Linked DNA regions of Styela clava. The protein of the gene in region 1 interacts with the protein of each later gene in a pairwise test. Links are inferred from orthologs where the notes say so. Each region holds a gene or a part of one and is shown in the gene's direction. Other genes may lie near its edges.

The links.
Region 2: the proteins of centrosomal protein of 63 kDa-like (region 1) and structural maintenance of chromosomes protein 3-like interact in a two-hybrid assay, tested with the Homo sapiens proteins (2 studies listed by BioGRID and IntAct). The link is inferred for Styela clava from reciprocal best matches to the Homo sapiens genes CEP63 and SMC3.
Region 3: the proteins of centrosomal protein of 63 kDa-like (region 1) and spectrin alpha chain, non-erythrocytic 1-like interact in a two-hybrid assay, tested with the Homo sapiens proteins (2 studies listed by BioGRID and IntAct). The link is inferred for Styela clava from reciprocal best matches to the Homo sapiens genes CEP63 and SPTAN1.
Region 4: the proteins of centrosomal protein of 63 kDa-like (region 1) and pecanex-like protein 4 interact in a two-hybrid assay, tested with the Homo sapiens proteins (2 studies listed by BioGRID and IntAct). The link is inferred for Styela clava from reciprocal best matches to the Homo sapiens genes CEP63 and PCNX4.

The regions. Positions count from the first base shown.
Region 1 is NC_135258.1:3,856,127-3,863,276, forward strand, and holds the start of centrosomal protein of 63 kDa-like, read left to right. Parts: upstream 1-4,148; 5' UTR 4,149-4,268; intron 4,269-5,840; 5' UTR 5,841-5,867; coding exon 5,868-6,026; intron 6,027-6,494; coding exon 6,495-6,714; intron 6,715-7,145; coding exon 7,146-7,150. Other genes in the region: uncharacterized protein LOC120339798, read right to left, coding at 482-627, 1,005-1,091, 1,350-1,481, 1,989-2,159, 2,982-3,060, 3,389-3,425. UniProt on the Homo sapiens protein: Required for normal spindle assembly.
Region 2 is NC_135259.1:4,477,037-4,484,667, reverse strand, and holds the start of structural maintenance of chromosomes protein 3-like, read left to right. Parts: upstream 1-4,630; 5' UTR 4,631-7,631. UniProt on the Homo sapiens protein: Central component of cohesin, a complex required for chromosome cohesion during the cell cycle. The cohesin complex may form a large proteinaceous ring within which sister chromatids can be trapped.
Region 3 is NC_135253.1:9,914,285-9,922,095, reverse strand, and holds the start of spectrin alpha chain, non-erythrocytic 1-like, read left to right. Parts: upstream 1-4,784; 5' UTR 4,785-4,850; coding exon 4,851-4,940; intron 4,941-5,401; coding exon 5,402-5,557; intron 5,558-6,804; coding exon 6,805-6,930; intron 6,931-7,769; coding exon 7,770-7,811. UniProt on the Homo sapiens protein: Fodrin, which seems to be involved in secretion, interacts with calmodulin in a calcium-dependent manner and is thus candidate for the calcium-dependent movement of the cytoskeleton at the membrane.
Region 4 is NC_135253.1:17,646,796-17,653,668, reverse strand, and holds the start of pecanex-like protein 4, read left to right. Parts: upstream 1-3,866; 5' UTR 3,867-5,130; coding exon 5,131-5,476; intron 5,477-5,641; coding exon 5,642-5,744; intron 5,745-6,376; coding exon 6,377-6,673; intron 6,674-6,873.

The DNA.
Region 1 (7,150 bases):
AAACGATTTGAGAACCACTGGTCATATGGAAAATAAATAAACAAGTCCATGCTTGAAAGAGAAATGAAATTAAATTCATTAGATTCGCTTCGCACTTGAACTACGAATAATTATCTAGATAGCCAGCAACTGATAAGCAAGGATCCAATCATATTTGAAAGAAATGGAATTATTTTACTTTGGCATTGTCCCCATGGGTGTACAACAGGTGGCCCGGCCCGCGAGTCACAACCCGGCCCGTCAGGCCTTTTGTAAGGCCCTTATCAACACTAATATTCTTAAATCTTATGACGATTTGCCCGGTGCATTTATTACTGTAAGGCCAGGGAATAGCAGCATTCTCTTCTTTTGTCCCAGCTGAATGTTTGAAGTTGGTTATATGGCCCACCGACAAAAAATGTTGCACACCCCAAAATCTTCATGCGACCCCATGAGGGGGCGCCACCCCAGTTTGGGAACCACAGACCTATTCTATACATACCATCTTCAATAGTAGACTCTCCTGTTTCTCCAGTAGTGATTTCCAGCTTTGGCAAAGTAACTGCTGTAAAATCTGGAACTCCCGGTATCTTAGGTGGGGTAGTGCTGATTGGTGATGGTGGCAAATTAGACCAATGAGGTTTGAATCTAAAGTTTGAACAGGAAAAAAATAGGCAATTAGCTAAAAAACACGAGTCTAAAACAAAAGTTAAATGTCTAACTAATAGGGCAACCATTGTACCAAACGACATATGAAAGTTTACCCATGAACTAAAAAAAACAGTCAAATTTGGGACAAAAGGATAAAATCTGATATAAATGTAATAGTGAGTGAAAAAATTCACACAGTAATTCGATGGTCACTGGTTCGACCACTAGAAAAGAAGAAGTTCGTCTATATTCAAAATTTGTTCAAAGCAAGCCTCAATGCAATGTAACACTCACTAAATTAAACAATCAAACGAGACATATCTCTGAGCATAGTCACAGGTGAACACACTCACTCACACATTCATTACACCCACCTATCGCTTCCAGGAGTGTATCCATTGCCCGGCATCGAGTCCACACCATTCACCATCATGTTGTTGTCATTGCTATCTGAGAGAGTCCTGTGAAATTGTTTGTTCATTACAAGTAGGGGTGAAAAAAACAATAGAATATTCATAGTCACAATGGTATTGTGGGTAAAATGATAGACAAAGTTGCGTTGGCATCCAAAAATAGTGGTTTTCATATATCAATAAATACAGTTGCTGCTCATTTAAAAATTACCTGAGCACAAAGGCCTATCAATATAATTAATTAAATTTTTGACAAGGTCAAATTTTTATTTTCAAAATTGATTTTTATTTGAAAAAAGGTCTTACCTTGGTAGATTACTCCATGAGCTGACAACCATTAGATTTTTCTCAATTCCTCTCATAAATTTATCACATTTTGTGTAATTCTTCCTCGGTTCTGCAAGAAGTTCACAAAGTCTTTGGATTGTGAAAGGCGGACTGTAAAAGAAAGATTCAACTAATTTTTCCTATCATTTCTCACAGTATTATAAGTTAAATGGGAGCTGGGAAGAGCTGCGGAGTCTGAAAAAAATAATACCAAGCAATGCCATAGAGCCAACAGAAATTTGCTCAAAGTATTGTAACTGATTAAATTTATTTTCATCAGAATGCGACCACTATGGATGTTTCCCCAAGCATCAATCAGCATGCCTCACGAGAACATTTAGATGAGTTGCAATAATTAAAAATCGATACTGCAAATGCTGCGATAGACTATTATAAAATTAGCTATAAGTATCTGTAAGCGGCACGCAGTTTTGCGTTTTAATAAAAATGAGTTTTGAACATGTGAGCCAGTTTGTATGAGCTAATTCCCCAAAACACTCTCGAAATGAGCGTTTAAAATTTTGCAATGGTTAAGTATAGGGAGATTTTTTTGGGGGTCAAGGGTCGAGGAAACTTCCACTGGCCCAAACTATTGAATCAAGAAACATAGTAACACACCTGTCAAACTCTTCCGTCAACTGCAACAATCTTTTTTTCATTTCATCAAAATCATCGTTGGTCGCATTTGCGTTGATTTTCCCAACTTTATAAGGAGCCATATTGTAAAATTCATCTAACACTGACGTCAATTTCTTCATGAAAACTTTCTGTACTTTCTCCCATGGCCCCCTAGTGGAGAAGAATATATTAAACTTCAACAAGGAATACAAAATTTTGCTTATTTGCAAGACAAGAATAATAGCTTAAATAGCTAAGTAATTGTGAAAAATCAAGAACTCCATCAAATTGGTCAAAACTCAGGGATGACCAAAACCGGAAAATGTTCCACATGCATTCTCAATAGCTGGGAAGGATGATTTTTGTAATGTAGCTATTCTAGATATTTTTCACTGATCAAGAATTTAACACACCAAATATTCGATACAATTTGGACATCTTTGAGTATTTGGGTCTAGTATAGTTTAGTACCACAGGTACTTCCAGTGGGCGTAGCATAACGAATTTTGCACATGTTATTCCTAACCCCCACCTGACTATGCAATCCAAAAACTACGTCACTACGACGTCGCCATCACGTCATAGGTCTTGCCAAAGTATAATTACGATCGCCCAAAATGACATCTGCGCCGCCGATAACAAACCCGCTAAAGCCAGCGATCTCTCTCCTATCGTGATCGTTGTGACGAGAAAACAAGAGAGATAGCTTGCTCGATTTCGGGTGCTCGTCTGCGCGTTTTGGACGACCTTTCACGTACTTTGGTGGCCATTATTACGCCACTGTGACGTCGAAATGACGTAATTTTTGGGTGACGTAGTCAGGTAAGGGTTAGGATTGACATATGCAAAAATTGTTGAGCCAGGCCAACTAGAAGTGCATGTGGTACTAAACTATATCAGACCCGAGTATTTTTAGGGCTGTGTTTCTCAAAAAGTGTCAATACCACAAAACTTAACACAGAACCCAGCCAACAACCCAGAAACAAAACTTACAAGATATCTCCGGTCCTTGCAATGTAAGTTATAAACCGATCAAGTTCTTCTGACAGGGGATCTTGTTTTTCTTCATAGCCTAAAAAATAAAATAAAAATGTATGAGAGATAACAATGTCCAGACATCTCCCAAAGGAGGGGTGTCTGATCATATGGAAAATGGTTTCTCTGAAACGGGACAAAGTCACCCGATTTGTATAGTGTGCCGTACTGTAATATCAAGATTTAGAATTCACAGACTCCATCATTGTTTGCCCTACCAATTCTACAATCAGTTTTATTTCTTTTGTTTTTATCAATTATTTTATCGCCTATTATGCTGATTATTGAGTCGAAAAAAACTCATAACGTTACTCATACTTGATAAATGAAATATTGAAAAATACAATTTCAAACAAAAAACTCACCCTCGATGGCCTGAATAAAAATGTTTGTGTCTTCCATTGTTCAAATATTTCACAAAAATCCTATATTCTACAACTTTAATCCATCTTTCGCACTAAACATTCAACAATTACAAACTACTTATTTCAGTCTTTCAGAAAGGACGTCGAGCATTATTCAGATTTATCAATTCGACAAGATTTAGAATTGAGCTAAAATTCTTAATGCCATATTTTTTTTAAATATTTTTGTGTGAGCGAACACATACTTTTCCATCTAAATTCTGTACATTTCAAACCTTACTCGAGGTTTTGTTTGCTCTCCCGATTCTATAATCAGGTATTTTTTTGTCTTCATTTAATATTTTATCGTCTACTGCTGATTATGAATAATACCGGTAAACTTATACCGGTACTTAAATTAAGTAAATAATAAATTCCAATTTACCATTTAGTTTGAAATAATTAAAATTATACTGAACTAAATTTCAATAATTTTTATAATATTATATATTTAACAGAATAATAATTGGTTAACTTTCTAAATCTATTTTCTGAATAAGTATATAGAAACGAGTACGGTACATTTAGTTGGCAATTCGTACGACGACTAGACGTCAACATTATTCTGCTCTCGGTCGCCGAATGTGTTTTCTTTCGCTCAATTAGTTTGAGTTTTTTTATCTGATTGAATATACCATAAATAATCTTCAACCGCATTTTATTAATATAATTTTAATATTAATATTAATTCTTATATACTAATTACCTCATTACTTTTATAAGAATATATAATCCAGTATCAGCTGTTTACACGCTAGGATAATTTTTGTAATCACTGAGGCGCGACAACGAACACCAACAGAAAATTTTACAAAATCGTTGGCGGAAAAACGAAAACCAAGTGAGTTGTAGTAATTTTTTGGACGGGAGTAAATATGGGGGAAGGTATAAGGATTAATTGATGTTCAAAAAAGTTCAAACCAAATTAGAATTAATGTTGACTAATTATTGTTAGTGGTATGTGCTGTTGTATATTTTTATTATTGTTGCAATGCTCATTTCATTGTTTGTGGAAATAAATCTCTCTCTCTCTCTCTGCTCTGTTTTCAGGTTGGCGAAATCTCTCTCACTCTGTTAAATGTAAACCTGTAGTTGCTAATGGAAAACATTTACAAATACAGAAATATTCTTTTTTGCCTTTGTCAGTGTTGGTCTTTTAGTGAACAGCTAACACATGTATTCCACAAGTTTGCTGGATGTGATTAGTTTATTTTTTAAAGCTTTTCCGAATGCCCATATAAATTGTAACAAAAATTGTTGTGATTTATGGTAATGATTAAATAGGGCACAGTATTCTGATTTCAATATGTCCCGACATTTGGTTCAATAAAACAACATTATATTGTCTCTGAAACGAGGACGTCTGTTACGATGACATATTCTTTCTTTGCTAAAAACTCTGAATGCTACAACAGAAAATATTTTTTTAATCTTGTAAACTCGATTATCTTTTTCAAGGAATTCAATAGTAATGTTTTTGAATTGCACTTCCGTTTGGTTTATCTGCAGTGCCGGTTTGTGTTTTGAGGCGATATGGAGCCCCCAGACTTTTTGGGTCTCGTGTAGTTTCGTACCTAACGTACTTCTAGTGGGCGTAGCATAACAATTTTTTGATATGTCAATCCTAACCCCCATCTGACTACGCCATCCAAAAAAATTAAATCACTACGACATCACAATCACGGCATAGAGCTTGCCAAATATACGCACGATCGACCGAAACGGCATTGGCGCCGGCGATAAAAAACTGACTGACGTTATCGGTCTCTCTCCTATTGGAATCGTTGCGACGAGAGAACTGTTCGATTTCGGGTGCTCGTTTGCGCGTCTTGGATGGCAGTTCGTATAGTTTGAAGGGCTCTATTACGTCACTGTGACGTCGTAATGACGTAATTTTTGGATGGTGTAGTCAGGTGGGGGTTAGGATTGATACTTGAAAAAAATTTCATGCTACGCCCACTAGAAGTGTGTTAGGTAAGAAACTACATGAGACCTGACTTTTTCGTAAAGGGGGGCCTCGCACTCACTGTTATAATTAATGTCTTTTTTATGTGGGTTTTTTTTTTTAATAGGAGAATTGTGCTGTAGAGATCTAATTTACTGGAAGGAAAAAAATTTTGAAAGCATTTGAGAGTTTATAGCAAAAAAACAGAATTTTGGTCACGTGATGGCAGAGTGTTTTTTTTATGTGCCCAAATGTCGGGACATATGGGAGTCAGATAACTATAGCCTACTGTCTTCATGGTTTTTTGTTGCAATGATTCTGTTTCTATGTTTTTTTAAGACTGATTCATAAAATTATGTAGCCTATCCCAACATACTGACCTAATAATTTTCATCCAAATTAAAATGCACAAGTTTTTTTTAATTCAACAGGATTGCGTAAATTATTTTTCTATATTGTCCTTTACAGGATAACACATATTAGCAGCACATAATTATGGACACTACAATATGGGAAGGTATGCAGAAGCAACAATTAGATGGTGGATTACTACTGACATCATGTGGTGCTGAACTGCAAGAATTAATGCGGCAAATTGACATCATGGTCCGACATAAGAAAATGGAATGGGAAGGGGAACTAGCAGCTGTACAGGTAACTATTTCTGTATTCTTCGATAAGATAGTAATTTTTTTTTGCTTTCAGCTTCACTCATGCCTTTTGCTTCAAACAAGGCTAGACAAAAGCTGTTATTAAGCCATTTCTAACTAGATCCCAAATAAACACTCTACAAACTCACTTCGCTGTCGGGAGTTATCCAAGCTATAATAAAGGATTGTTGGTAGTAAGCCAAGAAACGTTGAGTTTCAGTGTATTGTTCAAGAATAGAGCAAAATGGTATTGAAAAGCCGCAAAATTGATGTCTGACTGCGATCCCTGGAAAGTGCATTACAAAAAAATATTGAATTTTTTTGGGGGAGGGGGGAGGCATGGCGTATGTTTTTTGAGTATTTATGAGAGTCAAGTGGGAGGCATGAGATTTATCTATACTAAGACTTTTAAACTCGGCCTATATGCAAGGATATAAGGCACTTCGTAAATAATCTCTTCTCACTATTGCAGGACAAACTCGAAGTTCGTGAACAAGAACTCGGTCACACTAAATCTATGTTAAATCAAAAACATCAGGAAGTAGGAATGTTGAAACACAAATTAGATGGGTTTGACGGTAGCCAACGAAACGTGGTAAAACAATACGAATCCCAGTTATCGTATCTTCGCAACGAATTACTACAATTGAAATCGACGTACTCAAAAATGCAGAAACATTATGCAAAACAAGGTGATTATTTAATCAAATAATTTAAAATACTATATAACATTTATTTTACAAAAAATTACTTCGAATTGAGACAGCCATGCTCATACAATTCCTAAGAACACTCCATTACCAGATATTAAGTAATCTATAAAATCAACTAGAAAATAATATCAATAACTTTCAAGTTTATTGATGAAATAACAGGCGACCCAAAAAGATTTTTCATGCAACGCAGTTTTGGGTCGCGACGCAAAGGTTGAGAAACACTGCACTAAGCCATCACACCTACTAATATAACGCAAACAATTTTGTTTTTACCAATTATTCATATCTTCCATTATTTTCCAAATAGAGTATCGACCCTGGCCTTGATCGTAGACTGAAAATATTTGAAATTTCAGATTCGATAGAAGTACTTTATTTTACCTACCCTAGCTGTTATCTTTCAACAGGAAAG
Region 2 (7,631 bases), on another chromosome or scaffold:
TTCGTATAATCTTGTGTCAAGTAAGCACAACAAGCAATTTAGATATCAAAATAAGTAGGGAATACATTATAAGCCGTTCAAAACTTCATTAGCGACGTACATGATTTAACTTCCTCCATCGTTGAGTGTTTACAAAAGCAAAACAACCTGCAGGGTCAATTTAAAATGCAGTATTCTGTATCTGAAAATTACAAGCCTCGTACAGTTTTGAACCCTGAAACTAAACTCAATTTATTGTTAACATTGGTTGCCGCTGAACGGTCCTGGTTTCCCATCCAAATGATATATAGTACCGGCATTTTGTTTACGAATTTATAGAAACAAAACTACCGTCTCTTTCGCATACCTTAATATATTTATGAAATGTTCTGTCTCTAACCATTACAAGATCACACATTTTGCTAAACAGTTTGGATAGAAACAAACAGCATTTATAACGACGCAAGAAATTTACCAGCTTATCGCAAACACGACCCGCCTCGAGCAAAGACCTCGGTCGACTGCACGACTTCTCTCTACTTTCGGGCCCGCATCGGCGAAGCGAAAAAAGAACCTCGGAGAAAAATAACGTCTGTATGTCACAGACGCGGGGGCAGAAAATTCCTAGTTTTGAAAATCGACTAATTAATTTAGCATTGTTATATCTTCGCTATACAATGAGAAGTATTTGAAGGGAGTCAATTGTTGAATTGTTATAATTGATTGACAAAATGCAGCAATCTCGGCTAGTCTGCACCCTTGCAATAATGAATTGAAGCTGAAAAGTTTTGGAAAACAATTAACCATAATGGCAAATATCATTTTATGAATCTTATTCAACAAATAGATTACCATTTCAAGCAAATTGAACTTTAGTATTTTTGCTAATTTTGTCCTCGATATTATTTTGTCGTCCTCTCAAAAAAATATAGAAACATTATACCAGAGATTTTGGACTAGCTTCTTGTTCATTCGCTTTGCGTTATGCTGTATCCATAAAAGTTATCCATTATAGTGTCCAAGCTAGCAGTCCTTTAAACTCCATAGAATACAATTTAGTGATCTCTATAGCCTCATTACAATTAAAACTGATATTTTAAAAATGAGTCCACGTTTGAGCGATTCTAAAACTATAACTGGAATATTAACACAGCGTCCTCTGAGCAACTCCACTCTCAAATGTGGCAAATGTTCGTTTGTAGTTAGTTACTATATTTTACCAATCGGTGCTAAACCATCGGAATCGGTTCCTGTGAAATGCGGAAGCTGCAAGTACTATCAGAGCTGCTAAATGCGGAGCATGAGGACATCGCACAAATAACAAACGCGGCGGGAGAGTCAAAGTAAATGGTGATAAAACTGGTGCAACGGATGTTGATTTGCATGCCTGCAACTGGGTTCAATTAGCAAGCTTACGATAAGCTGTTATTCTTCTCAAATCCCGAATGGATAACAAAATTTCCAGCGATAAATGGCTAACTAGATTTTCTATATTGGGGAATCGACTATTTTGATCTATGCGATACATACTGTTTCAAACTTACCCTATTTCATATAGTTGCTTAGCGAAATATAGGTAAAGAGCTGTTTATCTACAGTGTATATCTGAAACGCTTTACACTGATAGTATCTTAACTATGCAACATATAAGAACATTACATCGCCGCTTTTTCAATAACTTCCAACGTTCGCCAGGTTCCTTCTTTATTTGTTATGGATATATGGTCATCAACTAATGCATATACCTGCGTATATTGTCACTGTCAATAAAGCTATTTAGTAGTACGTAGTTATGGAATAACTCCGTAAAAATGAATCCAAAAAAATTCTTTATTTTTCGACACCGCCAGTTTCATATATTACCCTTCCACATACATACACTGCCGCCGAGTAAATCATTCTTTTCGGAAAATGGCTAAAATGCGTGACAAAAATGTGAACTACATGGCGATAGTTGTTGTTTCGTTTCCAGCGCAACGCAGGGTAAGTCCTGAGTCATACATCGTCAAAAGCATTAAAATTGGTCAAATTATGTGTGTGAATTTAAAGGCCCAATATGCTACTCAAACAAAAGAAAACAGAATAATAATGGCCAAAAGTACGCCAGCCCAAAATTTTGGTGGGGGCCAAATATATATTGTATTTTCAAGCAATGATATTGGGTCTGAGACATCACTTCTTTAAGCAGAAAAAGACCACATTCGATCGTTAAGGAAAATAACATTCAACAACTTAGCTGGCTTTTTGTAAATACAATATTTTTTCCCGAACAACTTTTTCTTTGATACAACAAATATTTATGAGGCAATCTGAACCAGTAAAAACCCGTCCTTCGCTTTCCGCCAACTATGCTCGCCACAACCCGATTGATCTTCTCCTTAGTGATCCTTTCACGATGACAATAAAGGACACACAAATCGAAAAGGGGATTGGACGTCATTGATGGGCGCAGCCATGTCTTGACCCGTTTCCTACAGGAAAAAGAACGCTCAGCATTAACGGTTGTTGCTGGTAGCGTCATACCGATCTATATTGCCGTGTGCACGTTTGAATAATCTCGACTGCTCAGAAGAAGCTCCTTCGTCGTTGACGTCGGAGCTCAAAGAAGATCTCCATAGTCTCACTTCATTCAGGAGGTTATCCAACAAATACAAAAGCTCAATCTCATCCACCCGGACTGGTTCGTTCGGAGGAAGAATTGATAGTGAAGCAAAAAACGAGGGGTTGCCAATGAAGCGTTCCCGGATAGAGCAGCTCAAGCCGTCGACGTATGGAAGATATACGGAACGTTGGGACTGGGACGCTGAATCAGCACAGATGTTGTCGTGATAAACTTGTATCTCGACTACTCTGGGCATTATCAGATCTTGGTAATCTTGGAAATTTGGGAGGGGCCATGGCCCCTCTCGCCCCCTGCTGGCTACGCCTATGATAATGGCTTTCATTGTCAAGACTGTTATGTTCTATGCTTCGAGTAACATACCTTCGCGTGGACATTTGGGAAATGGAAATTTTGCAAAGCATCTTCAATTTCGTATCGACACCGGGGGTGGAGATTTGATACAAAAGGAGATTCTCGGGGTAGCAAGCAATATGATAATGCAAGATATAATTATGGAGAACGTTTGTGTCCGTAAGGGACAGAACAACTAAGCATTGTTTTAAGATATGTGAAAGGTAGCGAACTGTTTTCTATCATATAGAACCATTCTGATAGAACCATTCGCGCGCATACTCCACGCGGTCGGAGTCAGTGTGCGTCAGTAAAGAGCCTCACATCCTCCGTTTAGAGCGTTCTCACTTAAGAACGCAATGAATCGGACATTGCATCGAATATTTACAAAGAAACTTGTGAAATAGCTGACTTGAAAGATTTTACAATACCCAGAGTAGTTGAAGTACAAGTTCAACGCGACAACGTCTGTGCTGATTCAGCCTCCCAGTATTCCCAACGTTCCGTATACCTTCCATATGCCGACGGCTTCAGCTGCTCTATTCGGGAACGCTCCATTGACAATCCTTCACTTTTTCCTTGATATCAATTTTTCACCCGAATAAACCAGTCCAGGTGGATGAGATTGAGCGTCTGTATTTTCTGGATAACCTCCAGAATGAAGTGAGACTGTGGTGAGCTTCTTTGAGCTCCGACATAAATGACGAATGTTTGGAGGAGATTCGTCTGAGCTCTCGAGATTATCCAAGCGTGCACACAACAATACAGATCGTTATGACGCTACTAGCAAGTAGCAGCAACTGTTGAGGCTGAGCGTTTTTTCTTGTATAAACGGGCGTAGACATAGCTGTATTTGTCACCGTGAAATGGTCACTGAGTGGAATATCGGGTTTTGTCGACTGTCGAGCATTTTAGTGTGATTGCAGCATTAAAAATTAGCCCCAAAGCTGCGACCAACTAAGCTAAAATTTTCACATCAAAAATTTTGATATGGTGAAGTATAACAAACATTTAATTGGGGTAATCATCCACTGCGGGAGCAGTTCGCTTCAATGGTTACGACTTTACTCGCACCCAAAGTACATACCTCCCGAATACCTCCAATTTTAGTTTAAATTTTTGAGATAAAAACGACATCTGTCGTTTAATATCGGAAATAGAACATCGGTAACCAAAATTTTTTTTTAATAACATAAGTGAAATATTTTACTGTTAACAACTCGTTTTACCATCATTACAATAAGCGTTATATACAGCGGTGGGATTCAAATGTTTTGTCAGACGGTTCCATCACAAAAGTCATATTTTCCAGCCGGTTCTCAAAAATCGGTGTCTCAGGTAAGATGCAAAAATCCATTGACAGTAACCAGTAATGCTAACCGGTTCGCTGATCTCAGAAAATTCCGTGAGACGGTTCTGTAGAATCGGTGCAAACCGGCTGAATCCCACCACTGGTTATATATCCATAAATGTTACAATTATAACAGTAGAGTAATATTATTAACATTTGAATAAAAGATGTAAAGAGACATTTTTGAAAGGATAGTCATCTATTTATTTTAGTCTACACATCTATTTATAAATTTATATACATACCAACAACCCCACAACCAAAGCGACGTGAAATTTTGAAATAACAAATCCATTGTTGCGTGAAGAGGGTCAGGGGTCATATTATGACGCAAAACGTAAAATGGCGGCAACTCGGGTTCAGTCGCTTTTCCTTCGCTTTCGTTTCTGATTTGTTTTTGTTTTGCCTATTATTTGCAGACAATCAGACATTTGAAAGACACTAATTTGAAATGGAGTTAGCTTGGACAATAGTTTTTACCGTCGAGCGCAAAATTTTCAAAACTGCATGATGATACAGATACGTCACAGTGATAGGTGCATGAATTTTCAGCTTCTTGACGTTGAGGAGTTTCAGAGATGGAGGTCCAGTGACTGATTGCAGAACCGACTTACACGCATACACTACCCTGCTACCGGTACCGTGATTGCTACTGTCTGACTGTGCTACCAAATGCTGAAATGAATAGCCTATTATTGTTTTTGGTGACAAATTTAATTTTTGTAAAATGTTTCTCTTTGTTAAATTAAAACTAATGTTGAAAATTTTTTTTCTGCAAAAATGCCATTCATGATAAACTTTGAAACTCCCAAATGCTATGGTAATTTTTTGGGTCTGGTATAGTTTAGTACCACATGCATTTCTAGTTGGCCTGGCTCAACAATTTTTGCATAGGCTTTGCATAGGCTACCGTATGTCAATCCTAACCCCCACTTGACTACGTCACCGAAAAATTAGGTCATCTCGACATCACAGTGGCGTAATAAGGCCCACCAAAGTATGCGAATGGTCGTCCAAAACGCGCAGACGATCACCCGAAATCGAGCAAGCTATTTTTCTCGTTTTCTTGTCACAACGATCACGATACTGCGATAGGACTAGGAGACCAGACTGAATTCCATGGCAGGTGCACGCCCGAGGTTGCTAGCGCTCCGCATAAATTCATGCAAGCAAATTCAATTTTGCACGCCGAGAATTTGCAATTGCTCACCAATGAAAATTGGTTTAATTGGTTTTTAAATTAATAATCCAGTAATATAAAGATGCCAACAAATTGTAGCTCCACAATTGTCGATTTCATACCTGCATACAGACATACTAGCTTGCAAGATTTGGCCTGGTCAGAAAATGCCTAAGCAAAAAAGATCATGTTTTTCATAATTGCTTGGCGGTATGGCGCATCGTGTTGATTGATAGGGACTTCGTGAGAATAGTTATGGGCGAATAGATCCCCAGACTCCTCGCAGACGCTGGTCAGTCACGGCTCTGATTCGGCTTATTTTTTATCCAATGATTTTACGCAAAAACACTCCCAAAATTGATGTCAAAAAATAAAAATAATGTTTGTGGGTCAAATGTCAAACGTTCATTTTTTAGACATTTGAGTAAGTAATGACAAAGTATATAAATAGTAATACAATACAATACCGGTAATTTTAGGCGGATATATTGAACAGTATCTAAAGTCAAAGTCAGTTGCACGCGGGCGCAGTTGCTTTGCACGTCGTGAGCTATAATTGCACGCCGGGAATTCTGATTTGCACGTGGGAATTTCTGATTGCACGCCCGATTTCTCGTTCAAAATGGCCATGAAATCCAGACTCGATAGGAGAGAGATCGCCGGCTTTACCGAGTTCGTTATCGCGACGCAGATGCCATTTCCGGGCGATCGTAATTATAATTTGGCAAGCCCTATGACGTAATGGTGATGTCGTAGTGACGTGATTTTTGGATGGCATAGTCAGGTGGTGGTTAGGAATAACATATGCAAAATTCGTTATGCTACGCCTACTGGAAGTACTTGTTGTACTAAACTATACTAGACCCAATATTTTTCTTTGGGTAAATCAGATTATTTTTTTCTGAGTAATTTTTAGATTTTGTCCCCTTGAAGGCCCAGACTGGCTTGTTAAAGGAAGGAGGGGGGGGGAGGTTGCATTCATTGATATACGAATATATGGAATTGCGCAAAAAAACTACAAAGAAGCGCAATCTAAAAACGTCATAGTTGACTCCCTCGGTGAAGAAATAGTCCGATTTACAGAAGGAGAATTATTTCTATCGTCTGACCGTGGCATTTGAGAGTTTTTAGCAAAAAATGGCAATTTTGGTCATGTGCCAGTGTGCCCGCCACGATTATATTAGATTATAATCGAGGCAAGCATGGCACCATATGACGCATCTGCCGTTGTGCCAGACACCCCTCGTTTGTAAGACACATGGAGTGTTTGTTTTATTGAACCAAATGACGGGACATTCTTGGAATTTGGAAAGTGTGCAATGAAAACAAACACTTCATTTGTCTCTGAAACAAGAGTGTCTGCCCCGACACGAAGGCAGATGCATCAGATCGTGCCATGCTTGGAATGCCCCAGTAAATATTTAATTGACTGTCTCTACAGACTGTCTCGTAAATGAGGGGTTTGCTCCTACTGTTATAATCAATGTCTTTCAATATAGGCGATATCCTTGAAATCATAGAACTTTGCTGTACGGAATGGATAAGTTATTGCTAAATAAATAGTGAAATCATTCGAAATAAATTTACTCTAGAATTCGAGAGTTTCTAGCTAAAACAGTCCTGCAGTCAGGAAACGAACTTTCAATTGTAGAATTGAATCGAATTGATTTATATTATAATCGCAACAAACATGGCACGATGTTACGAATCGGCAGTGGTGCCAGATTCTTTCAGTGCTTTTTATTAATTTCCGTAAACACTGATTTTTAATGTTAGTAATATAAAAATTGTTGTTCTTTTTATTTCAAAACTTTAAAATTTCTAGACAAGGTTATATTAAATTGTTTCATTTTTTTATGTTTCATTTTAAAATACATTTTTTAATAATTTTGTAGGGTTTATTATTTTTATATCTGTCAAGTTAAAAAGCTGGTTTATTCTGCTATTTTTTTACAGTAATTATTGAATAAATAAAGTAATAATTGAATATATTGACATAGGAGTAAAAGTTGACAAGATGAAACTTTTTGCACATGTTTTCAATAATGCATTTTTTCCATTTTTACATGCTTACTCAATATGAATAATATTGTAATATAACTCGGTTCATGGACTACTTTCTGTATAATGCTCCATACTGGACATGATTTGGGTATACATTAGAAGTA
Region 3 (7,811 bases), on another chromosome or scaffold:
AAAGTCTTTTATTACTCCCTCAATTGCCGACAATAACGCTATTCAATGATTTTGGCAATGGGAGAAACATAAATAAATTGTAATAATGTTATAATAAATTGTAAAAAAAGAATCATGTTGTGCAAAAGGGATGCTGTCCATCAAATTATGCTCAGGCCATGCACGAAATTCACAACGTGAAAAGTCTTTTATTTCCCCCGCAATTGCCGACAATAACGCTATTGAATGATTTTGGCAATGGGAGAAACATAATAAATTGTATAACAAAAAGAATCATATTGTGCAAAAGGGAAAATACGTGATAATAGTAAAGGCGTAACATGGAACGGGGAAGAGCGAACAAAACCGAAACGCGTGATCGCCATTACGTTTGAAAACCACGCATTACCCGTGCGGCCGCGCATCTTTTACAATAACGTTAGCCGTCGTTAGGTGCTACGAAGGCGCTCTCGTGTACATTGTTGTGAGAAAACAGAAACAACATGTGTTTGAATATAGACGAATTTATTGGTATTCACATTCGTCCACAAATTGCAGCAGTGGGGAAAAAACACCAGGCATAACAGTCCTACTGATATCACCATTCTTATTTTACACCTGTTGCTAAATACAGAGTATGTTGTATTAACATGAATGAAATTCTCCCTATCTGATCTTATTTGATCATTATTATTTCATAGCAAAATGACTTCATGACGGAAAATGCCATGTTTTGTGATAAGTAGGGACGGGTTGCCAACTATGAAAAGTTTGAATGAAGGACATAGACGAAAGAACAATATAAAACAATGAAATAAACATCATGTACAAGCTAAAAGGATATATTAAAACAATCTTCATGTGTTTTTCATGTAATGTTTATTTAACATTGACCCAAACAATGTTAATAAAACTGTTATTTCTTTGGCTATTTGAGCTGGACCAAAGCGAAATTAAAAAGAATAATTAAAAGTTTACAAATACATAAACGGAGGAGATTTCTTAAGAACGGAACAATATCAAACACAGTACTATAACTATCGGACAAAACGACGTTGGAAAGAATAAAGGACAATTAGCATCTTTTCTAAATGCTAAAAAGGACAAGGACCGAAAAGCTTAATCAAAGGATTGTCCTTTGAAATAAAGGACAGTTGGCAACCCTAGACTGATAGGTGTGCCGCGAATATTTAAAATGCTCAATAATTTGTCGATATATAAAAAAGGCTGGGAACCCCTGCTCTAACCTATTGATCAATTACTGAATTATGAGCCAACAACACTGGTCCTCAGCATCAATGGTGAAAAATTAAATCTGCTCCTCTGTCGCAGTTTTGGTTTTGCTACTGTGATTGTTAGATCGGAATACACAAGAATCCTTTTGGTATTATTTATTAGGCGTAGTTTAAATTTACATCAAGTAATTCTATTTTTTTGTTTCGTATAGTTATTATTGGTCCCTCCTGTGTATAGCACTGTATTTTACCGGATTTCTGTTTGACAACTATTTCACCATTAGTATTTGACTACTATTTCACCAACTTTTGACTCAACAATAAACATCTTTGGACAATCAGACAGAACCGCGTCATCAAAAACAAAGTGCCTGTACGATCTATTTATTTCAATCACCCTAACGAGCACATCGCCATCGTATGGTGCTGAGCCGTAATAGTAATATACTGTACAGTGCTATTACACAGGAGTCTTACCTCCAAGCGGCTCACGCAGAAGGAGAACCCGCCAACACCAAAAAGGTCAGGGTTCAATGCCCTAAGTTACGGTTGCCAGTTTAGTTACAATAAGAGCGGTCACTGTTTTGAATGGCCGCTACACTGCTACCCTTAAAATGCTGTCTTTTTTATCATTCGAATCCTATATCAAATTGTAGCAGAATTAAAGTGCTACCGAATAAGATCGTTAAAATCCTTTGATGGTCTTTCTGTCGTTTGAACCTCGAGTTAATATATAAAAAAAGTCAAAACCACCATTTTTTATTATTACGGATCACCACGACATGTCTGGAATTTAGCCCAAATGCTTTCATGCCCTAACTATGCCGACGGAAGTTCTGTAGCTCATTTTTTTTTGGAATTCGAAAAATAGATCATATGTTTCACATCATTGTGGTTAATTTCACTTCACAGAACCACTATTCTGAAGCTTGTGGAAATGTATAAATATTTTTTTTGAATATCTGAATCTGAAGATAATTAAAAAATATGAATATGTAAGCTCATTTACAAATATTACAATCGTTGTATTACCGTTGCATTTGATGACTATTTCTCCAGCCTAGATAGCACAGTGGTTCTCCACTGCCGGTCCGCGGCAACCTTGCTGTCGGTCCGCCAAATATATTCCAATAATAATATATTATAAGCAAATTTCAAAATACAAAGTATTGACGGAATGTCCATTAATTTTGTGTTTTTTTCATCTAATATTGATACGTATTACCGGTATTCGTCTAACTACCAAACTTGGTGAGAGGTCCTCTGCCCATTTCACGTAACGGCTGGATGTTCGTTAGGTCTATGACCTCATAACGGCGGTTAACGTCATAACGGAGGAGTTTGATAGCACATGGTTCGGTACTTAATTGAGAAATTGAATTGAGTACGTACGTTCCGTAAATCGACAGTAGGCCTATAATTTAGCGAAATGAGGGCAAACAAACAGCAAAGTATTATCTAGTTCTTTCAAACGAAACCCAATGGTAAAAACCAAGTTAGTGGTGTTAACAGGACAGAGACTGCAACTTCAACTTTACAACATGCCCCGGGATCACGCAGAAACAAGCAAAAATTCTTTCAAAAGACGCAATGAAACTCGCAAAGCTAACGCGACATTTTCACTCGCAGCATAGCAACCTCATTGCAAAGCCTCTTGCGCATTTCCTTGTACTTTTGTCGTAATTGCATTCTTTTGATTATGTTTTGTGTTCATGACATTTTCGGTTAATTTTGAAGGTCCCGGGCATAAAATTTGTTTTGAAATTTTACCGGTCCGCGAACTGAAAAAGGTTGAGAACCACTGAGATAGCATCCACTCTACAACGTATTATCAGCCTCCACATACTCTTTCTTTGTTATACATCAAAACTCAAAATGTGGAATGCCAATATATTTAAAAAGCATGACTGACCAGGGCTTTAAAACTAAGTTAACAATAAAATTATTGTCAAAATATGAGAATGAGGTTTTTTATGGTACCGTCTTTAATCATATTTTCCGTGGTCATAAATATGACACACGTGGTCATAAATATGACATATTTGTTTGAATCGGGCCAACTTTTATAACCAGTATTGCATTCAGTGAATATGTCTCCATGCTGTTTTACAGTTTATTTTTTGCATAGTTCATAGCGCTAAAAAGTAAAGAAAGACAAATTCAATAGCACTTTATAATTTTAAAATCCTGGAGTAAGCAACATGAACTATACAAAATATTCTCACCACTTAGCAACAATACTACTGACTTATCGGACCAACGTCGTCCTTTTCTACATATTTAAAAAACGCCACATGTTCTGAACTTATTACTTGTCGATCTTGATCGGTAAGTATATTGATAGGTATTTGTCTGTTTGTCTGTCTGTTAGTTGCACGCGATATCTCACGAAAGCGAGGTTGAATCTGTTCTAAATTTTGCATGTACATTCATCATATCTCGGACCAGAAGCCTATTGATTTTGGATGAATTATGTCGTATAATTAGCGAGTAATTAATTAATTAGTGATGGGTCACGCGGTGTACCTTATAGAAAGAAGCTTTGCTTTCTCAAAAATGAGAGGAGAGCTGACAAAACCTTGTACAATGTTTTAAAACGTACAGAATATAAGACGTGAGGTTGTGCACCCCTGCACTACGCCACCTTATGTTACCGTTACCCGTACCTGAAACGAGAGGCCGCACAGCAGCCACGCCCATCGCGCGCATCTTGCCGGCGATCCTTGTGGATTTACGCAATAATCAATACAATATGGGACTATCTTCGGAGAGGTCGAGGCGGAGCGGTGCTAAGTTATACTCAGGTATTAGGGAGGATAGGGATTTCGTATGGGGGAAAAATCCGAAAGACGGCTTATTCATATGGCGCTCCACAACACAATTCTATTTTGTCCTGTTACCAGTCCATAACCTGATAACCACTATTTCAGAAGCATGGGCCCGGAAAAAACCTGAGTTTTTCTGTGCATGTCTGCATGTGTCACTAGTCCACTTGCAGTTACAATTAGGTACCGGTACCCAGATGAAATAATGGCAATTGATTTATATAATTAAATATATCTGGAATCTATAATCAGCTTAACAGTCAGACAGTCCATAAAGCGCTGGTGATAGATAACAAAAAAACTGATTATATTATGATCCTGGATTCAAAACTTAGAACTTGCTTCTTAGGTCAATAGATCATCTGAAAATATTTTAAAAATACTCAACTCGTACACCTGTACACACACATCTGCACATACAAACCAAAGAAATAAAAAAAACGAGAATTCTTTAAGATAGGCCTGCCTAATAAGCTATAACAACAATAGTACAAAAAAGACAACAATGAAAATATTTGGGCTATTTTATATCTGTATATTCTGATACCAATAACTTAAGTCAGTAAGTAGATACAATCGCCTGTCGATACTAATGCCAGAATGAAGAAGTATAACATCAGACAGTCAGAAGATTATTTCAACATGTCAACAATTCTCACAATGAAATTGTGTGCACCCTAGACATCCCAACTTTTGATTGGGCTCCCAACAGCCCAAGCTATGGAATGCTGAATAAGTAATTCTGAATTTGTATCACCAAATACAGGGTTAGAGAATTTATTTAATCTAAGCGCAACAGTACTTTTAAAACATGAGTACATCGACAAGCTCAAATTTTGTGCCATTGGAGACGGCAGGTGATATTGCAGCAAGAAGAGAAGATGTATTGTCCCAGTACAAGGTAAGGTCTTAAATTTTTTTAAGTGCAATTACAGAAAATTATCTTTTGTCCGGAAGACTGATAATACTGTAATATGCAAATTTATTTAGTTTTTCCGGGTCTCGTGTAGTTTCGTACCTAACTTACCTCTAGCGGGCTTAGCATAACAATTTTTTGATATGTCAATCCTAACCCCCATCTGACTACGTCATCCAAAAATTACGTCACTACGACATCACAATTACGTCATAGAGCTTGCCAAATATACGTACAATCGCCCGAAATGGCATTGGCGCCGACGATAAAGAACTGACTGGCGTTATCGATCTCTTTCCTATTGCTGTATTGGAATCATTGCGACGAGAAAACGAGAGAAAAAACTGCTATTTATAAAAAAGCATGCTATTTATAAAAAATTATAATTGCAGATAATACAGTAATATGATAGGTGATATAAATTTTAAATGTTTGTGTATTTACAGGCATTCAAAGATGCATTGGTCATTAGAAGACAACAGTTGCATGCTGTACTGCAGTTTCAAAATTTTCAAAGAAATGCGAATGAACTGGAAAAATGGATTGCGGAAAAAATGGTAATTGCAACAGAAGACAATTGGAAAGATTTGACAAACCTTGAGGTGTGTTACACTTGCAATTTTTCAAATTATAAGCAGTTGCGTTAGCATAGAAAGAGATAGCGGGTTTGAGAAGACGTGGAATTTGATGCTTTTCAAGCATGCTCTACCTGAGATATTACTGCCCTGGTTTGAGTATATTTTCAAAACAATAAATTGTTAGATATTATCAATCATGAGGTCTAACGAAGTACACGCATCAACTGCTTAAATCACCCCAAACAAAACTGTTATGTTAAAATACAGCCCATGTTTTTATTATTTTTCTGTCTCGCATAGAACGCTATATCCTGTTTGGCATGGGATGTACCTGCTCCGTCTGTTAGTTGAAAATTGAGTGAATTTTATTTTAACTAAACGCATCTGTCAAGTATTTCATTCCGCCCCAGACAGACTTTTTTGAAAAAACATTAAAATTTCACATCACATTTCTGTGTGGCATATTGCGAACAGTTTCGGGGGTAATTTCCCTTCACATTTTTGTTTGGCGTTATTTTAGGGAGTTACTTAGCTAGACCCTAATTATGATATCCTACTTCATGGAGGGGCAGTTCTTACCACTTCATGGCAGCTCCTGCCACGAACGAACCGCGGCAGCTCTTGCCATGGTTTTATAGCGCTATTCAGTATTCAGTAATCAGTATTAACGGTATATTCACAAATTAATGTACCAGATTTTAATTGATCATGTGGAATTATATCTACTTAAACCCTAACCCTAACCCCAAATCAATCAAAACTGTATCCATAAGAAAAACGTTCCAACTTACCCAATATTTGTCACCATAATAGACAGCCCTGTCTTTACGGCCCACCTGCCGCGGTTACGGCAGCAAAATTGTACCTGCCATTGGTTTTCAATTTGCTGCCGCTGTAACGGCAGCTCGACATTGGTTTGTGGCAGCTAAAAAGTCAGTTGCCATGAGTTTGGCCGTAGCGGCCATGGTATGGAAATACTGCCATGGTTTTGCGGCAGCTGCAGATACCACAGAATACTTAAAACTGCACTTGACTTCATGAGTCCATGACAGTCAAATGTACCCATATTTATATGATTTCCGAATTTAACGAATGTAAATATTTCTTGTGAAAAAACCATTATTAATTGTATACAGGTATATTAATAATATTAAACACCTTTATAAAATTTTCGCATCGTCTCCGCATTTCAATTAAAAAATGTGAGTTTCATAAAAAACAATTCAAAACTCTGGATTTAAATATGCATTTAGTTTTACTATACATTTTAGGCTCGATTACAAAAACATGCTGCTCTTGAAGCTGAGGTTTATGCCAATGCTGGTGCTTTGGAAAATCTGGATGATGCTGGAAAAACCATGATTGAAGAAAATCATTTTGCTCTTGATGATGTGAAGGTAAACATTCATACACCAATTAAAACGGAGAAGTTTTGTGATAGAACTGACTAACGCTGAATAATTTTTATGATGGATTTGGAATTTCAATTCGGTGTTATAATTTGTATGAATGGCTATTTCAAAAAATACCTGTAAAAAAGCAAGTTTTTGATCCCTAATTAAAATATCAACTTATTGACTGTAAACGAATCTGAATAGGCCTATTTAACCTTCTTTGGAAAATCCTGACATACGTGTACATATAGTACAAAAAGATCAATATCACAAGAGAAAATATTGATTTTCGTACCATCAGTCTACATAGATGTTGGTCATATTGCTTTCTTAGTTCATCTTGTTTTAAATTATGGATGAAGGCACTTAAATTTCTAGCGCATACTAGAAATGCAGAGCTTTAAATCTTCGATGTATTGTATTAATAAGGTATATTCAGAACATGAACATTGAGTGGCAACATAAACTAAGAAATATGTGAAGTATGATTTCTGTAAAGTTGTAACTTTCCCACACATAATACAAATATCAGTTTAATCATAATATATCTTTTACCAAAATTTTTTATAAAATGCAGAAAACTGAGAAGTAAAGCAATTTTCTTTAGTTTGGGTATGTTTATATTCGACAAAACATAGTAAAAACACCAATCACAATAAATTAGTTTGAGTTATATTTTATTTGTTTTAATATTATTATCATTTATTGCTTGAATGATAATTTCAAAAACAAGGAATCATAATTTTCCAATGTGTAGTTGTGTACTATGAAATCAAAATTTTAGAATATTGCCTATAAGTACTCCATTTTCAAACAAAATCAATTTCACTACTTTTCTAAAGGATCGTCTTGTAGAACTTCATAAATTATGGGATGAATTACTT
Region 4 (6,873 bases), on another chromosome or scaffold:
ACTATTGTTGTATATCACACCCGGGCATCGCACTGTTAAGTGCATGTGGGAAAGCCAGCTTTTTCAAATACTACAAAGTTATTAATTCAGTACGGTACGTAGTTGCCCATTTGCCGAAATTGCATATTTATCTACCCCTTATGATTCCAAATAGTTCATGCACCTCCATTTAGATTTTTCTAACCAATGAGGATATATACGGATTGCTGTAACATACTATTGCTCAATCACTTCTATTTGCGTATTGATTCAAAGGGTTAATAAGTTCACCTAACATTTCACCCATACCAGGTCTATATTGTATAGTATGATCTCTCAAGTATATGAAGCCACGAATGCCTGTAATTTTTGGACTAAACCCCTTCATTAGTTGGTTTATATACCAAATTCAGTAAAACATTTTTTACATTTAACATGAGATATTGGATTTATTAACTTTTCCATTCTAAATCATATAGACCTCTTTAAATATTCTTGACAAAAATTAATAAATATCCTCTTTTTCTTCAGATGTGAATGTTGTGGACAAACCTGTATAAGCATTGTGAGATTCCTGCAGCACAAGAGGCAATAGCAAAAATAGTAAGAATATCAGTCAAGAAATTAAGTCGACATAAAGCAAAACTTTCAACTATTCGTTTAACCTCAATTTCCCATTATTTATTCACAGGACAACTGTAGCAGACGGCGAGATATCAGAAGTCTGGCAAAATATCAGTGACAATGTGATTCCAAGAAATACAATTAGAGTACTCCATAAATGTTTGCAATAGAAGAACAACCTATGGAGGCATGCAAAGACATTTGACCCCCCCGGTAGAGTTGTGTATGGGTCTTATTTGTAAAAAGGCACAAAACACGCCAGACATAATTAAAACAGCTTTGGAAATGTAGATTATGGGTCACTCACTACACCTGTGTTAGAATTAGTTCCATCATATTTTGGTAGTACTATAGAAGAAATTCAGGGAAGGGTATAATCATGATTCATGATAAAGTACTGTTCAATATTTTGGACAACTTAAATATAGACCAGGGATGTCAAACTCACGGCCCCAGAGAACTTCCAGTGCGGCCCTCGAACGCTAAACAATAATTGTAATAGTTTTTTGAAAGTTTTTTTTTATCTAAATGTAAAAGATTTTTCCAATTTTTTAAAGTGAAATTGATTATTTGCGCAAAAAACAATTTACTGAAAGTAGTTTTGGTAAATTATTATTTTTTTCACATTTTGACCCAATTAAGAATTTACACATCAAGCTAGCAAAAAAATACTTGAATAAAACATTTGAGTGGGTAAATTAAACGCAAAGTACATGAAGAAGGTGGCATTTTCGAAGAAAAATGGGATTTACAATATTTCTGCACTTCTCAAAATTCCGAAGCACATTGTTTTTGTTTTGTCATATTTCCATCAGTACAATGAAATAACACAATAAACTCAGCAGTAATATGACAAATTCAAAGACCAACTTTGAACCGAAAATTCCCATGTGTTTGTATAACAACGACTTAGTTTACTAAAAATCAATATCAACAATAATTCAAGCAACTCAATGCCACGCAATGTGGCGCAAAATTTCTTGTCAAAAAAATCTGTCATTTGTTCGTTTACTGATCTTTACGCTTTCTTGCATTACTGGAATTAATTAAACATTCTCACAGATCCATATTAACCCATGATCATGTGACCTCGTTAGTTACTATAAGAGTTGGTACTATAAAATCATTTCAGCCTGGCCTTAGTATGCTGGTGACACAAAAAAGATGCCAAACGTCAGGGCAAATGTAATTGAGTAAACATTGAGTTAATACTATAGTATTTTTGTTAATTTTAGGTCTATATATTTAGATTAAGTCATTCTTAGTGTATGTATTATTCTTTCCTTATCCAAAGCTTGTTCAAAAATGATTTTGATGGTTGTACATAGAATTTTATGATTTTTTTGTGATAAATACAGTAACTTGCAATAATAGTGGAATGCAAATATTAAAATGTAATTGCATTTGAAATTAGAGAAAATAATAGAACTTAATCCAACTGTTTAATTGCATCACAATATATGTCACAAACTAAAACTATCTTTTAAGTATACATTATCAAAAACTGTTTGCGGCCCTTTTTACAATTTCCAAAATGCGATGCGGCATATTGTATGACTTGTATTGTAACTTGTATTTGCTGTCGCGATGTATTATCTCAATGTGTCAAACTTTTAATTAGTGTGCATATTTTGCTTCCAGGTGACATAAATGTATTGTCTTGTTTATTGCCTCAGCTTGGAGTATTGACAAGAAAAAGGTGCTAGTAAATTACGTAAAAATTTTTTTAACTCTTTGTTATAATCAGAATTCACAATTAATAGGAAATATAAACAGCCAACAATCAATGAGAACTATATGCAAAATTCCTCAGATTAAATTTGTCTTCTAGAATCGGAGGAAGGCAAAAGATATAGGTAGTTTCCATTCACACAAGTCTTTCAAGAAGACTTGCTCGAGCCAAACTAAATGAGCATCATCAGGTGATCGGTAAGGCTGCAAGTTGAAATCAGCCCTGCAACCTCCTGCATAGACGATAATACTAATTAGTGGGCTATGAGCTAAATTTCTAAATTTAGACACAAACATATCTACGAAGCATTATGTACCATCAATGTTACCTACGATAAACTGAATATGTAATATGTCTAATAAATTCACCTACTAAAGCAAGTTCGATGGGTGCAAACTTTGTGTTATGGAATTGTATCACAGCACCGTTAAGAGAAGTATAAACAGTCTTGTTGTTTTGTAAGACACCCACTTTAAATAAAATTTCAATGTTTAAGTACAAACATTAAAATTAGTAACTTTGAACATTGTCATTATCTGCAAAATGTTCCACACAAATCTTTGCCCTATCGCGTTTGTAATCTTCTCTGATAAAATAAAAACGTCTATGATGTCCAGAATTACTCTTTACAGCTAGCTTGTCTGTCATTCCAGCTTTCCAAGTGAGCAAAACTTCTTAGATATAATGATTATTTCCTTTCGTCACAGGCGCAAAAAGGCAGATACTACACGTAAAGAAGGCGCCGAGAAGCAAAAGCGAACGGGAAACGGTCTCGAAAGGCGACGATAACTATGTGCATTGAAGCGTATCATGAAATACAATCTTTCGCGTATAGTCTTATGGAGTGACGTCAGAGTTGCCTATCATGTTGTTTAATGTCATTGATTTATTGGACACGTTAGTTAGTGGACATAACGATCGATTTAATATTAATCATTACCATTAAAAAACCGCTTTTCTTTTCGAATACTGGACCAATTTTTAATATTTTCAGTGGTTAAAAGTACTTTTCTAAATTTTGTGTGAAATGTGATATTTCCTCCAAAATTTTGCTGTATTATTTATTTTTGTTCCGGTTTAATTCTGTAAATTCCTGCTACGAGAAACTCGGGAAAATTTTCGGAGGGGTAGTAGCGTCAAAGGTTTAACTTTTATTTATTTTATTTCTGAATCTTGTGTGAAATCTGATTTTCTCTTTATTTTGTTATTTTTTACTTTTTCTCATCTTGCCTGCCCGTCAGACTGACTCGCTCCACTTTTATGAAAGCTGTGAATTTTGTGAAATCTGATTTTCCCTTCAAAATTTCGCCGTATTTATTTATTTTGTTATTTTTTACTTTTTTGAAACGATTCTGAATTCATCATTGTCAAATTTTCATAATCAGCGTACTTCAATTATTTTTCAAATTTATTGGGTCCTTATCGATACAGTTAGTGCTATTCATTTGAATCAAACGCCAGAGGAGATAAATTTGCGATAACGTAATCATTTTGAAGAAATACTCTTGTATGTTAGTCGTTGCTCTTGCCCACAGCATCGGCACCGGATTTTAAACGACAAAGGAATGCGTGTTTCGAAGTCGATCGTACATTATTCAAACTTTCGGTGTTGAGCGCGCAGGCAAACCACCTGGAAGTCTTTATTTGTGAATATAAAACAATCTTCAAAGTACCAGAAAAGTGTCTGATGGAAGGCGTAGCCTATTTCATGTTCGGAAATTTACTGTTTGTTGTGGTTCATGTTCTCATTGGTCATAGCAACCATAATTTGGCTGTCCGATCATTATGACAATCGAGGCGAATGAGAATTAACATTGGTATATCAAACTTATTTCAGTATTTGGATAGGTCATGTGAAACATGGTAACTGAAAAGTCTAAGGAGGCAGGTAAAACGTAGAAACAGTGACCAGTTCACGGAGAACCCGTTCTTCAGTTCTTGGACCAGTGGAATGTGATATTCCAGTATTCAGCGACTGGGCAAACCCGTTCTTGTTTTTTCTTTAATTTATGTGAAGAGTGTCATGGTAATGCCGCCCACATTCAGACATAATACTTGTGCTGCTGAATACAGTTATATTTTCTGAAATGAGGGACCTGTCTGCCTGTTGCAGTGTTGTTAGTTTGATTCAAAAAAGAACTGTTTTTGAAATAGAACTTGTAAAAGTCTGTAAGTTAACTTTTTTGAAGGACCAGAGACAGACAGATTGGACATAGGGATTAATTAATACCTATGTCAGTATGTATTGTTCTGTTTTATTGCATGGGTGACTAATTTACTTCTGTATTTTGCCATATAGCCTACTGATATAATGCTAAAACCCAATAGCAATTTCTGCCTTTTTTGAGAAGCAGCTTCGTCATAATTCTGTAAATATAAATATTACTGAACTTTCAGAAATGTAATGGCCTGACTGCAAGAGTATTTTACGTCAAATTCGCAATCAATGAAATCAAGAGCAAGCTAGGTCTAATCAAAACATGAAACTGGGGTAAATAAAAATATCTAATATTATTTGCACGACGTGTCGCCAGCGCCCAACAATTGCCCGATTACTAAATTAACAAGTCTTTTCATTCCAAATGTAAGAAGTTGCATAGCCTTGTTTATTTAGTGTACATAATCATACGAATTTTTTCTATCCTGACATCTTTTTTGTACAGATATGATTAAGTTTTTTATGTGGATAAATATAATCTATCATCGTCACATTACCAATATGCATTTTTTTCGGACAATGAAATCTTTATGATCGATATGATATAAAGGGATATCTTCCATTGGATAATCCAACAATGGCAGGATCAGATATTCCACTGTTGAATCATTACAAAAAAGAGTTTGTATATAAAAGACTCCCACAGACGTTTTTCGGTGGACTGAATCTAAAACTTGGGTATGCAGTACCGTGGTATATTTATATTTGTCAAATTCTACTCTGGTTGATGCCATTTTTTATTGGCGGAGCATTCACACTTGGTGTGGAAGTCGGTGGATTAGCTCCTTTTCATGCTTGTATAGGAAATGGATTAGTTGTTGGGATTATCACTCTTTTGCTACAAGTTGGAAGTAAAGTAATTTCGAGAGGGAGTAGTGAGATCGAAGATTCTGATAAATTTAGTTTATCTTCAGCTGCTAGTGGTGAGTTATTCTTTCTTATAGTTTATGAAAAATTTTAATGCTGCATTAGGATTTTTCACAACGTTTATTTAGTATCAGAAAAATCTCTGTTAAGAATATAGTCATTCTATTTTATGGTTTTTCATTTTGAGAATTTTACATGGGCTCTTATTTCTTTTTTGACAGTATCCTCCAAGAAGTTGAGAAGGTTACTTGCAGAAGAAGATGAAATTATATTCGAATCATGCTTGTCATCAAATACTTTCTTATTTTTGGTTCCTCCAAAGAGGTAGGTATATTGTTTTGTTCTTTTACTATTTAGGGTATTTATTCAAATTTCATGTTGAATTTTTGGTTATTATTATTAATATCTTTTATTTTTTTTTAAATATTTCTTATTGTTCTTAGCATAATCAAATAATTTCTTATGAAAAAGCAGCTCGTATTGCACTTAGCAGTGAAATATGAATTGCAATAATTTATATATTATATTCGTATCTTATTTATCAACAAATAGTTGAAAATAGCTCATAGACATTTCCTACAATACTAGCACAAGCCCAATTTCTAACTGAAACTTCTCCGTGTTGCAAACTATTGTTGTAATGACCTGAAAAATTTTGTTATTCATATTATCCACCACTCTAGTGTTATGGAATCCATTTTCGTTCTAATTCAGGAAGTAATGAAGAACTAAATAGCAGTACAAATGCAATCATATTACACCTGTTAATTCTGATCAGTTTAACCTACTGAAAATTGTTTCTCATACAAAATTATTCTGAATAGTAATAATGCTCAAAATTTAACTGGAGTGTAAATGTTTTTACTCAAGTAATAAGCCATCCTTTACCTTGATTTGAGTGAAACAGATTAATTGATTTTTCTACCATATTTAATATTATTTTATTTTGTTTTTAGGTTTTATTCGTCCATCGTCACCGCATCTTTATTATCAATTTTTGTCAATGGTTTGGGTATGTGGTATTCGCTACCTTATACCACGTTCACCACTCTATATGGTTACAACACCGTCAGTAGTATTTTCTTGTTCATATTTTGTTGGATTGTTATTTGCGTCGCCCAGTATCCTTTACTTCTTGGAAATCCTATACCTGAAACTGCTGCATATCGTTCAGTGGATTTTTATGAAACTCAAAATCTTTGGAGATCTCTCACTGTGTCATTATTTTTGATAGTCTTCTTAGTAGATATTCTGTGAGTATGTTTTTCAAATTAATAACTAATTATGAGGAAATAAATTGCTCGCATTTCTTCTATCAGTACTCCCTGTACTTTTGGGTAGTGGAAGGGGCTCATGATTTTGCGTTTGACGAACATGAATAAAAACTAATCAGCGAAACGTTAAAATTTTTATTTTCAATAAATATTATATTATTTTTTTATGTGTTTTTTAA